Linked DNA regions of Stegostoma tigrinum. The protein of the gene in region 2 purifies or fractionates together with the protein of the main gene of each other region. This does not show direct contact. Links are inferred from orthologs where the notes say so. Each region holds a gene or a part of one and is shown on either strand. Other genes may lie near its edges. The genes, in order: tmem9 and clcn5b.

Evidence for each region.
Region 1: the proteins of clcn5b (region 2) and tmem9 purify together in Homo sapiens (co-immunoprecipitation; 3 studies listed by BioGRID and IntAct, with this or other methods). This does not show direct contact. The link is inferred for Stegostoma tigrinum from reciprocal best matches to the Homo sapiens genes CLCN5 and TMEM9.

The regions. Positions count from the first base shown.
Region 1 is NC_081374.1:43,004,018-43,011,355, reverse strand, and holds the start of tmem9 (transmembrane protein 9), read right to left. Parts: upstream 3,179-7,338; 5' UTR 3,076-3,178; coding exon 3,007-3,075; intron 1-3,006. UniProt on the Homo sapiens protein: Transmembrane protein that binds to and facilitates the assembly of lysosomal proton-transporting V-type ATPase (v-ATPase), resulting in enhanced lysosomal acidification and trafficking.
Region 2 is NC_081368.1:43,902,828-43,910,770, reverse strand, and holds the start of clcn5b (H(+)/Cl(-) exchange transporter 5), read right to left. Parts: upstream 3,037-7,943; 5' UTR 2,911-3,036; exon of another isoform or gene 2,701-2,910; intron 2,613-2,700; exon of another isoform or gene 2,512-2,612; intron 1-2,511. UniProt on the Homo sapiens protein: Proton-coupled chloride transporter. Functions as antiport system and exchanges chloride ions against protons. Important for normal acidification of the endosome lumen. May play an important role in renal tubular function.

The DNA.
Region 1 (7,338 bases), on a different chromosome or scaffold from region 2:
CACTGTTTAAACCCTCGCCAGTTGATCTCAATTAGAAATGACCAAACTGGCTTGGATTTCTTCACATTATGCTGTTATTCCCATTGTAGAAAGCTTGAAAAAAAATTGTTTCTTGACAGAGGTGTAATATTAATTTGAGAATTACACCAAAAACCTCTCTGGCCATGAAAAACTAATTTTGTGTTTGATAAGTGTCACTTTTCCACAGCAAAAATTTCTTGTTACTTCCTCGTTTGCTCTCTGAAAATTCATCAATTTGCTTAAGTTTCTATATGGTATCAATCCAGTGGAATACAGAGATTGCCTGTGGCTGGTGGCAAAACGTAAACAATGCCAGAAAAGAGTAACTTTGTGGCACAGAGTCTGGTAGATTTTCTGGGCATGGTTTTTTGACAGTAATTCAGCATCTCACTTTATCAATGACTGAAAAATCTGAGCCGTTGATATCTTGCTTTATATACATACGTATATATAATAGAATACAAACTGTAAAGAAAAAGACATGCAATTGTATAACATTTTCTTGAACACTTTGTCTAAAAACATCTGATACCCAACTTTTGAAGTGCAGTCTCTGTGGTAATGTACATAACAATGACAGCCAATTCACATTCTGCAAACTCTCACCAAAAAAAGAAGTCAATATAACCAGACAATCTGTTTCTGTGATGTTAAATGAGGAACAAATATTGGCCAGGACACCATGTTAATGCTCTTGCTCTTCCACAAACAGTACTATGGGATCTTCTGCATCCACCTCAACAGCAATGGAATCAGTTTAACGTAAGGCACCTCTAATAATTATGCATTCCCTCAGTCCTGCACCAGAATGTCAGCCTTGATTTTTGTATTCATGGCTTAGAGAGAGGAACTTTGAGTCTAAGGCAACAGTGTTACAAAATGAATCAAGACAACATCTGCATAGTTGTTTTTTTTAAAAGATTCTCCCACCACTTCGATGGATGAGACTTCAGCAAAAATAAACAAAGAAAGTAGTTTGTCACATGCAATATCATCATTCAGCCTATTCTTGATTTGCATAACTGACCACAAAACATGGAATCCCTACAGTGTAGAAGCAGGCTATTTGGCCCATTGAATCCACACTGATCCTCTGAACAGCATCCCATCCAGACTTGTCCCCCTATCCTATCCCTATAATCCATCATTTCCCACGGCTAATCAACCTATCCTGCACATCCCTGGACACTATAGGCAATTTAGCATTGCCAATCCACTTAATCTGCACAATTTTGGATTTAGGAGGAGCACCCAGAGGAAACCCATGCAGACACAGGGAGAACATGTAAACTCCACACAGGCAGATATCCAAGGGTGGAATCGAACACAGATCCCTGGTGCTGTGATGCAACAATGCTAACCACTGAGCCACTGTGCTGTCCGCAAATCCTTCATGTGAAGCCAATGATTTTTGTCATTTATATAAATGATTTGGACATGAATACAGGGAATATGGTTAGTAAGAGTGTAGATGAGACCAAAATTGGTGTGGTGAACAGCAAAGGTGGTTATCTTAGAGTATAACATGACCTTGGACTGATGAGCTGAGGAGTGGCAGATGGAGTTTAGATAAATGTGAGGTGTTGCATTTTGGCAAGGCGAACCAGAGCATGGCGATTCAGACAATACGAACAGCATCAGCAGGCACAGCATCATGAAGAGTTTACTCCCCTTCATGTTCTCCTGATGGACAGACAGAAAGTGACGATCTCAGGCCCAAGGCTTCAACAGTCAGCGACGTCAGACCTGAGGCAAGTTCATGTTGAGCAGTGCTGAACAGAGAGGCCTTGCAGTGCAGGTTCATAGTTCCTTGAAGGCGGAGTTGCAGGTAGACAAGATAGTGAAGGTGGTGTTTGGTACATTTGCCTTTATTTGTCAGCGCATTTGAGTATACAAATTAAGATGTCATGTTGGAGCTGTACAGGACACTAGATAGGCCACTTTTTGAACACCGTGCTCAATTCTAGTCTCCCTGCTACAGGAGAGATGAGTTAAACTTGAAAAGGTACAGAAAAGATTAACAAGGATGAAATCAGGTTTGAAGGGTTTGAGCTTTAGGGAGAGGTTGATTGGGCTGGGGCTATTTTCCCTGGAGCGTTGGAGGCTGAGGGGTGACCTTATAGACGTTTATAAAATCATGAGGGGGGGGGGCATGGATAAGATGAATAGCCCAAGGTCTTTTTCCCAGGATAGGGGAGTCCAAAACTAGAGGGCAGAGGTTTAAGGTGAAAGAAGAAAGATCTAAAAGGGACCTAAGGGGAAGCATTTTCATGCAGAGGTGTATATGGAATTAGCTGCTGCAGGAAGTGGTGGATGCTATGCTGATCTGATTACATTTAAATGGCATCTGGATGTACACACAAATAGGAAGGGTTCGGGGCATATGGGTCAAATGCTGGCAAACGAGACTAGAATAATTTAGGATAATCTGGTCAGCACGGACAAGTTGGACAGAGTCTGTTTCCGAGCCGTACAACTTTATAACTCTATGAATAAGATGCTGGCGTGGGCTTTGTGCCACGTGAACCTGTCCTGAACACACTTAACTCAGTTATCCTCAAACATCAAAGTTGCTTGATGACAGAGTTCTCCATTTGGGTCTGATCAAAGTCGTATTTTCCAGTTCATTTGCAAACTCTGAAATTAGCTTCTGGATTGCCTTCATATCAAACTTAGGGATGTCCACTTCAGCTGAGCCTTGTAGGCAGATACTCACCCATATGGGATATAACATATACACAAGTAACCATATTTACAACATAAATTGCATCACTTTATATAAGTAGAATTTCAAAGCCTTCACTAGCCTAGTACTGATACAGTGGAGGATCCTTGCTCACGGCCCTATTGGATGAAATATCATAATTTTTCTATATTATTTAGACTAATTCCCATTACATGAACCTGTGGAATAAGTCCCCCCTCTCTCTCTCCAACACCTTCAGGGCAGAGACAGAGACTGCGGCCTGGACACCAGCATCTTACCTTGGACGATTCAGACAACACGAACAGCATCAGCAGGCACAACATCATGAAGACTTTACTCCCCTCCATGTTCTCCTGATGGACAGACAGAAAGTGACGCTCTCAGGCCCAAGGATTCAACAGTCGGCGACCTCAAGCCTGAACTCTCTTCAACCCTACGCAGCACCAAGCATCAAATCCCGCCCTTAGCCTGTCTCCATTGGTGAAACCTTTCCCCGCCCCACACAAAGTCACGCGATTATTGGGCTTTAACGATGTCTATCAGTTACGGTTCCTGCCGCCGTGCTTTATGGGAGCTGTAGTTCTGTGCCTGCGAAACTGGGCAGTATTCAACCGTGAAACTTCAAAGCCCAGAGGGCCATCTGAGTCCACTTCTGTCAATGAAACTGCCCGATTGAGGATTAACCCCCGTCTTCATCGGGAAGGGCAAATTCTCAACTTGGTTTAAGCAAACAACTTTTGTTCCGTTTGAAAAGTGTGTTTATGTTCAGAATTCTTGCACTCCCAATTATCATGTTGATAATATGGACTAAGTATTGTATATGTCAGCAATATTTCCAAATTCTAGCAAGAACTGAGGTGGAAATTACTTACTGACAGAAGGCCAATCTAGTAAAAGGTGCTCTTTTAAGTGTGAAGTTTCCGGAAGAAACAGCTATCCAAGACCAAGTGTCACAGATTTCAACATTTCAAACATCTTTTGCTGAGAATTATACTGAGTTATGGGCCATTTGCCACATTGGTGTAACCGAGAATTGCCACGTAGAAATTCTTCTCATTCTTGTATTTTTATCTCAGTGATTCCTCATCTAATCACAATAATTTCATTTCTATTTCAATTCAAATTACCCCTCTGTTGCTTAAAGTAACCATCTATCCTTCCCCACTGCCATATTAACCAATTCACAGCAATTCCATAAATGTTCGCCATCACACATGACCCCTCTGTTCCATGATCTAGGCAAAGCCATCTCCTTACCACTCACTGAGATAACGACGTGCAGAGCTGGATGAACACAGCAGGCCAAGCAGCAAAAAAAGGAGCAGGAAAGCTGACGTTTTGGGTCGAGACCCTTCTTCAGAAAAACCATACCACTCACTACCCACTTTCATCTGCATCTGCACCTGAAGTAAACTTCCACAATGATGCTTACAGCTGGATTGGCGCACTCCACCTGTGCAGCTTTTGGCTCCCTATGTGTCATTGATAATAATGCATTTACCTGAACTGAATTGAATTGAATTAGCTTTATTGTCACACGTACTCAAATGGGTACAGTGAAAAGTTTATAAGTTGCCACTTACAGCATCACCTTACGTACAAAGGGTAACTAGGTGCAAATTTTTCAATTACAAGATTAGTTATAGTAAAACAATGGCACCAATACATGGTGCTATCTTGGATACAAAGATACCTAGGTACAACCCTTAGTTACAGAATAGAGAAATGAAGGAGAAAAAAGTGGCAGCTATACACAGTATAATGCAGATGACACCAAGATTGGTGGAGTTTGCAGACAACACTAAGATTGGTGAAGTAGCAGATAATGAAGGGGACTGTCGGAGAATGCAGCAGAATATAGATAGATTGGAGAGTTGGGTGAAGAAATGACAGATGGAGTTCAATTCAGGCAAATGCAAGGTGATGAATTTTGGAAGATCCAATTCAAGAGCGAACTATACAGTAAATGGAAAATCCCTGGGGAAAATTGATGCACAGAGAGATCTGGGTGTTCAGGTCCATTGTACTCTGAAGGTGGCAATGCAGGTCAATAGAATGGTCAAGAAGGCATACGGCATGCTTTCATTCATCAGACGGGGTATTGAGTACAAGAGTTGGCAGGTCATGTTGCAGTTGTATAGGACTTTGGTTCGGCCACATTTGGAGTACTGTGTGTAGTTCTGGTCGCCACATCGCCTAAAGGATGTGGATACTTTACAGAGGAGGTTCACCAGGATGTTGCCTGGTATGAAGGGCGCTAGGTATGAAGAGGGGTTGAGTAGATTAGGATTATTTACATTAGAAGGATGGAGGTTGAGGGGGGACCTGATTGAGATCTTACAAAATCATGAGACATATAGACAGGGTGGATAGCAAGAAGCTTTTTCCCAGAGTGGGGCACTCAATTACTAGGGGTCATGATTTCAAGGGGAGAGGGGAAAAGTTTAGGGGAGATATGCGTGGAAAGTTCTTTACACAGAGGGTGGTGGGTGCCTGGAATGCATTGCCAGCGGAGGTGGTAGAGGCAGGCATAATAGCGTCATTTAAGATGTATCTAGACAGATACATGAATGGGCAGGGAGCAGAGGGATACAGATCCTTGGAAAATAGGCTCTGAGGAAAGGTTCTGAGGAAGGGTCATGGGACCTGAAATGTTAACTCTGTTTTGTCTTCCACAGATGCTGCCAGACCTGCTGAGCGTTTCCAGCAACTTTGTTTTTGTTCTTGGAAAATAGGCGACAGGTTTAGGTAGAGGATCTGGATCGGCACAGACTTGGAGGGCAGCAGGGCCTGTTCCTGAGCTGTAATTTTCTTTATTCTTTGATTGATAACCATAGGTCAGAAAAATAAGAAGCAAAGTTAGAAAGACAGACATCACTGTCTCCTACCAAGGGCTCTCCGCAGCAGGCCAGTGTAGGGGTCTGACCATGGGAAGGCGTCATGTCCCACACTGGGCCACAACTTTCGCTCCCACACTGTGTTGGTGACATCCCTGCTCTGGGTCGCTGGTTGCCAGTCTGCCAACCTTGGGTGCTGGTTGCTGATACCCCTGCTCGGGGCATCCGAACCTGCTTTGGAGGCCGGGTGTCCAAGGCTGAGGGTGCAAAAAGACAGAAGTCAAGAAGAAAAACCACAGAAGGGAGGAAAAGAGGTAGAAAAAAATTGTGCGGAGCGGATGAGCTCCAGCTGGTGTATCTTACTTCGCCAGCATCTTACTGTAAGGAAGATAACTGATAACTATTAAAAACTGGTATCTTCAGTGAATGATATCCCATGCTGTGGAGAATTCCCTCCTGAACCCTCTCTATTTTTCATTCTCATGCTCTGTGAATCATCTACTCCCTTGATGTTTGTCTGCAGTTCCCTCTCACTCAAATTGTTCAATGTGGCATATGGCTGCCATCTTTTCATCGCCAGAAAAGACAACGGCAGAAACCGAAACAAAAACCGAAAGAACTGCAGATGATGGAAATCAGAAGCTAAACAGCAGAAACATCTTGTCGGCCCTGCAAAGACCTCCTTATTATCATATGGGGACTCATGCCAAAATTGGGAGAACTGTCCCACAGACTAATCAATCAACAGCCTGACATAGTTATACTCATGGAATAATACCTTACAGACAATATCATAGACACCACCATCACCATCCCTGTGTATGTGCTATCCACTGACAGTACAGACCCGTGGAAATGGCAGAATAGTGGTATAGAGTTCGGAAGCAATTGCCCTGAAAATCCCCAACTTTCACTCTGCTGCCCATGAAATCTCATGGCATCACGTTAGATAATCCTGCTGGTTGCAAACCTACTGTCAATACCCTCATCTTCTTCCTGTCAAATGATGAAACAGCATTTTTCCATGTTGAACAAGACTCGAAGGAAGCACTGCGCATTGGCAAGATCATAGGGTGTATGCTGGCAAGTTGGTGGAATAGTGGTAATATCATTGAACCAGAAATCCAGATCATTAGGCTTATTCTTTGGGGTATGGGCTGGAATCCTACTCTGGAAGATGGTGAAATTGGTGTTCACTAAAATATACAAATAACAGAAAAATTAGTCCACTGGTGACCTAGGAACATTGTCGGTCACTCAAATAGAAACTGCTGGAAAAGCGCAGCAGGTCTGGCAGCATCTGTGGGCAGAAATCAGAGTTAACGTTTCAGGTCCAGTGACCCTTCCTGAGAAATGAATCCTGAAGAAGCGTCACTAGACCTGAAACGTTAACTCTGATTTCTGTCCACAGATGCTGCTAGACCCGCTGAGCTTTTCCAGCAAGTTCTGTTTTGATTATGTGAGCAATTAGGAGCCTCATAGCATCATTGGAACCAGATTGTCTGACCATCACCACATTGCTAATTATGTGAGCTTGATGTGTCAAAATAGTTGTCATGTTTTCAAAATTTTCCAGAAGCAGTTCATTGGCCATAAAGATATCCTAATGTCATGTCAGGTGCTCTATAAATGCAAACTCTTTCAACCTTTTCTTGGCTTGGTTCTTGCATAAAAATACAGCTTATTATGGTGGTCACCTCTGTGGCCAACACTGATTGCTGAAATGAAACTTTCCAGTTCAAGGTCACTTGCCTTGATGAATATGAAAAAGGG
Region 2 (7,943 bases):
TTAATTGGAGTAAGGCAGATTTTAATTGTAGGAGACAAGAATTTTCAAAAATTGAATGGAGCATACTGTTCGCAGGTAAAGGAAAGTCTGATAACAGGGAGGCAAAAGAGTTCAAAGTCATTGTGTTCTAGTCAGAGTGAAAGGTAAGACCCAAAGGATGAGAGAACAACAGGTGAATAAAGATATTGAGGTTCCAGTCAAGAATCTTAGACGTAGACAACAAGGTTCAAATGAATCTCTTGAAGAGTATAAAGGGACTACAGGCATTCTTAAGAGGGGGATCAGGTCAGCAAATAGAGGATATGAGATAGCCTTGGAAAATAAGGTAATATTAAATGATTATTTTGCATCAGCTTTTATTATGGAGAAAGAAACAGAGGCTAGAGAATTGAGGGAAATAAATATTGAAGTTTTGAAAACAGTTCACATGGTGACAGGAGAGGAAGGGCTGGAGATCTTAGAAAATATAAAAGGTGGATAAATCTCCAGTACTTGATCGAGTGTATCCTGGGTCACTGTGGGAAGCTCCCCTCGCAAAAATATTAGTATCATCTATAACTATGGGTGGAATGCCAGATGACTGGAGAGGGGCTAATGTTGTGCCTTTGTTTAAGAAGGGCTGTAAGGGGAAGACTGGGAACTATAGACCGGTGAGTCTGACTTTGGTGGTGGGTAAGTTGTTGAAAGTGATTCTGAAATTTAGGATTTATATATATTTTGGAGAGTAAGGTACAATTAGGGATAGTCAATCTGCACTTTTTTTTTAAATGAGGGAAGTAGAGTCTCACAAATTAATTGAGTTTTTTGAGCAAGTAGCCAAGAAGATTGATATGTGTCGAGTGGTAGACATTGCTTACTTGGACTCTAGTAAAGCCATTGACAAGGTTCCACCTGATAGACTAATTACTAAAGTTAGATGGCACAGGATTCAGGGTGAGCTTGCCAATTGGATACAAAAATAGCTTAACAGCAGAAGACAGAGTGACAGTGGAGGGTCACTTTTCAGGCTGGAGGTCTGTGACCAGTAGCATTCCACAGTGATCAGTACGGGGTACACTTTTGTTCGTCATTTATATAAATGATTTACATGAGAATATAGAAGGCATAGTTAGTAAGTTTGCAGATGACTCCAAAACTGGTGGCTTGGTCAACAGTGAAGAAGACTAAGATTACAAAGAGATCTTGATTAGTTAGGTCAATGGGCTGAAGACTGGCAGATGGAGTTTAATCTGGATAAATGTAAGATATTGCATTTTAGTAGAACAAACAAGGACAGCAATTACACAATCAAAAGGAAGGCCTTGAGGAGTGTTGTCGAACAGACAGGATTCAGGTACATAATTCTTTTAAGTTTGCAACACATGTAGATAGGGTGGTTGAGAAGGCATTTAGCAGGCTTGCCATCATTGCTCAGGCCTCTGAGTGACATTATGTTGAGGTTGTAAAGGAAATTGGTGAAGTGTCTTCTAGCATACCATGTCCAGTTCTCATTACCCTGTTATAGGAAGTATATTATAATGCTAGAGAGGGTTCACAAGAGATTTACCAGGATGTTACTGGGAATGGCGGGTTTGTATTATAAAGGGAAGTTGGAATAGGCTGGGACTTTATTCACTCAGAGGTAGGAGGTTGAGGGGTGACCTTATAGAGATTTATAAAATTAGGAGGGATAAAGTAAGGTGAATGGCAAGTATCTTTTCCCTGGGGTAGGGGATTTCAAGATCAAGGGGCATATTTCTAAGGTGAGAGGAGAAAGAGTTAAAAAAGACACGAGGGGCATTTTTTATTAAAAGAGTGGTTTGTGTATGGAATGAACTTCCAGAGGATGTGGTGGATGTGGGTACAGTTATATTTAAAAGACATTTAGACAAGTGCACGAATAAGAAATGTTTGGAAGGACATGGGCCTGGTTTAGTTTGAGATTATGGTCGGCATGGTCTGGTTTGACCAAACGGTCTGTTTCTGTGCTGTATGGCTCTTTAATCTTTACTTGTTAAGATAAAAATGCAGTATATGCGACAACATTGCATCAGAAAATTATAGAATCCAGCCTGAAAATCAAAACCAAAAAATTGACACCTATTAATTTTACAATATTTTCCTAAATGAGATGTCTAAATCAAGAGCAATAAACTAATGTTTCATTTCTTAACATAAATACAGTAGTGCAAGATCTCAGCTTTTCAGTCAACCTTGCACTCACCAAGAAAATCAAACGCATTATTCAGATTTGACTCAAAGTACTCAGAACCAGGTAGAAGTACTTGTCTTAGCAATTCTCAAACCTAAAATGAGTTTACGAATATATAGCAAAGCCACTGTGAAATTATTGAGAAATAGCTTGGAACAAAGTGATCCCGTAATCCCCACATAAACGTTACTAGAGACTAAACATACAGAGTCACTGCCTTCAAGAACACAATCTTATCAGTAAACAAATCGTCCATTAACATTATTAAATATCATGTGACAAATCCCTGCCAAATTACTTCGCTGGCTGGATAAACTCACATCTGTTTGATCTGTTTGGGAATATTTGATACGAGATCTGGTTTTGGGTGAAGGAGTAATTCTGAAAGTCGAGAGAAGGTATTCGGTAGAAGGGGGAGAAACTGCAACACTTCAATACGCTAATGTTTGTATGCAACGGAAACAAACCCTGTTACAGGCATCACGGATGTAACTGATCAAATGAAGTACCGAGCTCAGGGCGTCCCACTGGAGATAAACTCGTGAAAACAAGATGAAATTTACAGGAGATGGACCGAAGAGGAAGTGACTGGAAAGAGACGAGTGAGTCACCGACCTGACAGCTGGAACCCTGCGCTGGTCCCTGTGCCCCTCCCCCAGCTCTATCCCGTGATTAGACCAGCGTTGTCCTCGGCAGCGGCAGCGGCAGCAGCAACATACCAGAGGCCAAGAGGGCAGGACAGGGCCGGCCTGGAACCCACACCGTTAAAGTTCCGACACATCACAACCTCCACTGCGACCTCCTCACCAACACCCCCGGAAGTGATAGCGGGGCCATGCAGTCACCATGGAAACCGGGCCTAGTCCATCGAGGGCAGTAGCTCACACTGATCTCAGCGAGAAAGGGGCTGAACAGATGGGTAAAAAGGCAGAGATATATTTGCATTCGTTTCCTTCAACTTTCGAGTTCGACATCCAGTATTTTATTCGTTTACATTTCCTTTCGAAATACTTGCGATTATAAAATGATATTTTATCAAGAATAGTGTCAAAGCGACTGGACGTAGAAAGGGGGAAGATGTGATATCTAAACAGTTAATTGTACATCTTAATAGGATATTTTCATTGGCGATCTACAGAGCTAATACGATATGCTCCTTTTGGACATGCTTGGTAAGAAGACAATTGGCAGGATCTGGTTTTGGAGACTATGATACCCTTCCCGGGATAGTGGATGCCCTGCCTTTACACTAAACTACACTTATCCTATGGATATCTCAGTGCTTGCCTCTAAGGTGGGGTGCTAATTTCCCCATTTCTGCCAAAGCTGGAAAAAAAATGCTCCCTAACGAGAATCCCACTTCAACCTCTGGAACTCCTTTGCGATGTGCTCCTAACGCGAAGAAAGACCTCATTTGGTGCCTCATACAATTCTTCGTGATTTCATGCTATACTGTATGTCATTTAGGGGTTTATGTAGGATTCTGTCCACTCTCACACGTTCATTAGTTTCATTTGTTTTTCCAAGTTTCAAACAACTCTTTCTTCATTCTCCGCTTTTCAAAGCAGTGTCCAGTTTTCTTAATTTCAGTCCAAAATCTCAAAATAAAAATATCTATGTTCTGACCAGGAACACTATAATATATCAAGGCCTTAATGAAACGCCTCATGTGGATCACAACTCAGACGGTGAAACATCATCCCTCCATTTCAATGGGCCTGTTAACCAAAAGAAAATTGTAATTCAATTCCACAATAAGGATAATTGTCCTATTAAGTCACTGCCGACCAGGTAGCCCTTGCTGCAGGGGTGCTCTGGGAAAAGCATACGGAGATCAGAATATGTTGTAGAGACCCTCATTCGAGTCAAATGTTTACCCTCTCCTCTAGAATTGCCTCAGCAGACACATCAAAAAAAGCAGTCTAGTGTATTTTATTCAAAAGTCGATTGATACTTGTGATGAATGGGATGTTTTATTAAAAAAAGAGGGGTTGGGCTTGTTTTCACTAGATTTGATTGAAATTGATAAGACCTTAAATGGTCTAGACATGATGGACGTGGAATAGATATTTACTCTGGTGGATGAGTCCAGGTGACACTTTTAAAGTTAAGGTTTGCCATTTTCGGACAGGGGAGAGGGATATATTTTTCTCTCTGAGGGTGCACAACTTTGAAACTCTCTGCCTCAGTAGGTAGTGGAGATGGAGGTCATAGAGTCATACAGTACAAAACAGATCCTTGAATTCAACTTGTTCATGCCAACATTTCTTGCATGTGGGTCGAGGAAGCAGAGCAAAAAATAAAACTTGTATACTTCCTGATTCCTGTTCATGCACATATTTACACAAAATGTAAGTTTAAGCTACTAGCAATACCAAAACCCAACCTTCATTTATTAAAGTCTCTAACCTTAATTGTTAAAGTCTTTTGATATGCAAGCAATAGCTTCTGCTATTGAAACCTCAGTTCAAAATGATGGCAACTTTTAAAATTCATTCATGGAATGAAGGCACCATTGGCTCAATCCACATTCATTGCCTATCCTTAATCGCTCTTGAGAAGAGGGTGCTCAACTACCTTAAACTGCTACAGTCCATGTGGTGCAGGTGCATGCTCAATATTGCTAGGGAGGGATGATAATATTTGGAGATATATTTTGAAGTCAGGTTGGAGGATGTGGATTGGAGGGAAATTTGCAGGTGGTGATGCAGACCAGGCATCTACTCAGCTGCAGGCAGAGAGGACCTGTGTGTCAGCTGTCAGGACAGACATGCCTATGGAACACAATAGCCTTCATTGCCCAGAAGCTGCAGTAGTGCAATGACTCATGCAACATCTGGCTGTTCCATGGATAGGTTGGCAACTGCCCTGAAGAACCGAGCCATTAGCAGCAGGATCATTTGGAGAGGAGGACACACCAGCGCTCCATTGGCCCAGCCATTCATCCTCTGGACCACAGTCTTCGTGGCAGCATTACAAAACAGGAAACCTTGACTCCAGTGCAGCTGCTACCACCTCACAAGGAGATTGGTTAGGTGTCTCCTGAGATCAGCCTAAGGCAGAACCACACAGGATCTTTGGCATGTTCCACTCAGGACAGTGCAGAGGTGGCCGAGTCCTCTTCCTCCACTCGTCCAGCCCCTCCATGGGCTCAACTGTCATGCTTCTACTATCCCACTACAGGACCAGGAAGTGGACCACGATTAGTGGACTATGATAGACCACAGGAAAGAGAAGGAAATGTATTGAGCACTGTTTGGCGGCGTGGGTGGAAAAGGCTTGTATGGCATAAAAGTTCCTGGTTTTAACTATAAGTCAGTCTGCATTGGGGTTAAAAGCCTTTGCACACATTCTGGCAGCACTCGTGGCCACAGATGAGGCTCAATGGATAATGATCTGTGATGAAAATGCAGTGCACTATCTAAATGTGGGAGGTGGGGCAGACAATGTATACATGTTGAACACCATTCACCCTCCCCTTTGAACATCTTTAGATCTTGGCTCAAAGATGTAGCTGTTAATAAGTTGTACAATAGCGGTTGTGCCAAAGGGTGCAAAATGCAGAGACAGATCACTGCTTCTGGATGGCCAGATTGTAGACAGCCTGTGTGCTGTACATTGCATGGGATTTAACTTTGGGAGCCCTACGATTGGTGATTGCTGCAGTGCACTCCCTCATTGGTTGAGTTACTTACCTCACCAACTCTGTGTGTGTTCACAGCCATTTTCTTTCCCATTGTACACTTTCCATTTACATCTTGATGGAAGGTGACAGTAAGCTGTCCTATTCCAGTGGTTTCCAGCTGAACATTTCCGTGGGCCCCCAAACATCCACATTTGTTTCCTGTTAACTCACTGAATTAACTCCACAGGCTTCATACTTTCTCAGGTTCCCACCCAAACCATTTACGTGTACCTACACCTGCCTACCTTTCTAATGCCTGTTATCGTCGTACACTTCCCTCCTCCCAAGCAAAACGAACATCATCTACAAAATACCTTGCAAGAACTGTGACAAACATTACATTGGACAAACTGGCAGAAAGCTAGCCACCAGAATACATGAACATCAACTAGCCACAAAACGACATGACCCACTATCACTAGTATCCTTACATACAGATGAGGAAGGACACCACTTTGATTGGGTCAACACATCCATCCTAGGACAAGCCAAACAGAGACACGCATGGGAATTCCTAGAAGCATGGCATTCCAACCGGAACTCCATCAACAAACACATTGATTTGGAGCCAATCTACCATCCCCTGAGAAAAAGAACAGGAAATGACATCACCAACCCAAGGAAACCTAACCAGATAAATAGAAATTAGGACATAACACCAGCGCTTTGTCGGAGGCTCACTGTTGATGTTACCTAGAATGGTGACAAAACATCTGGGAACACACCTTCAAGCTCAGTGAACCAGCTTACATCTGGAACAAAATAAAGACCCACTCTCTTGTGGACCGAGAGGAGGTGAGCGCTGTGTTGGAGGTGAAAGGAAGACGTCGGGTTGGCTGTGCACCCTTGCAACCAGTGGATCTTAATGCTAGCTTCGGCCTAATGCTGGTTCAGGGGAGCAGCCAACCTGCAACGATGGCTGCGGCAAGTGCTTGTGCCCCAGGTCAGGGGGACCGGAACACCATCCGTGTTTCCGTGAAGAAGGTCGATGAAGGTGCACCTGTGGACCGCACCTTCTTTGTGAAGAGGGTCCTGTTGGACTGTTGTGGGTTCGCTACTGCGGACATTTACTGCCTGCAGGATTTCCCCGGAGGAGGTTTTTACGACGTGACCTTCAGGAGTGCCAAGCTTTGCGAGTGCTTCCTGGAGGTTTTCAAGGAGAAAGGAGGTGAGGGCCCCCTCTCTATATTGACCGCTGTCCCGCTGTTCGTGATGCCAGCGCAGAGGAGCCGTATGGTGACTGTACACATGTACAACCCGCATGTGCCAGCAGTTGATGTCCTGACCTTCCTTGGAAGGTACGTGGAGGTGGAAGGGGACCTAACTCACATCATGGACCCCTTTGGCATCTGGACCAGTAAGAGGCAGGTCAAGATGATGCTGAGGATGGGCGCGGACGGGAACGTCATACACCTACCGTCCAGCTTCGTGATCGGCGGAAGCAAGGGCTACCTGACCTATGCAGGGCAACCTAAAGTCTGCCATGCCTGTGGTAGGTCAGGTCACGTGGCGGCCGACTGCAAAGCCACCATCTGCAGGAACTGCAGGGAGGAGGGACACCTTGCAAAGGATTGCCCACAAGAGAAAAGCTGCAACCTTTGCGGGGAAGCAGGCCACCTCTATAGGGCATGCCCGCAGCGGGGGACCACCTACGCCCAGGTCGCCGGCAAGGGCAATGCGGGGCCAGCACCCCCCAGAGGAGAGGAAGGCACCAGGGCCCTGCAAGGACCCCACTAATGTGCAGGAGGGCCAGGTTGTGCAGGGGGGCCCAGCCCCGCAGGATGGGCCCGAGGCCAGCAAAGCGCCCCTGCAGGCTCCGCTCCCCCCCGACAACCCGGAGTCGATGGAGGTGGCGACAGGCGAGTGGACAGGGGAGTGGACGATGGTCCGGAAAGCAAGGAGGAAGGTGCGTCGGCGGGCCCAGGAACCGCAACCATCAGGTGGGAAGAGGCAGCTACAGGTGGGCTATAAGAGCTCCTCTGACGAGGGGGATTTGGAGAGGGCCCACCTGAAGCAGAAGTTAAAGATCTCAAGGGAGAAGGAAAGCAGCAACACACTTCCAGGTGA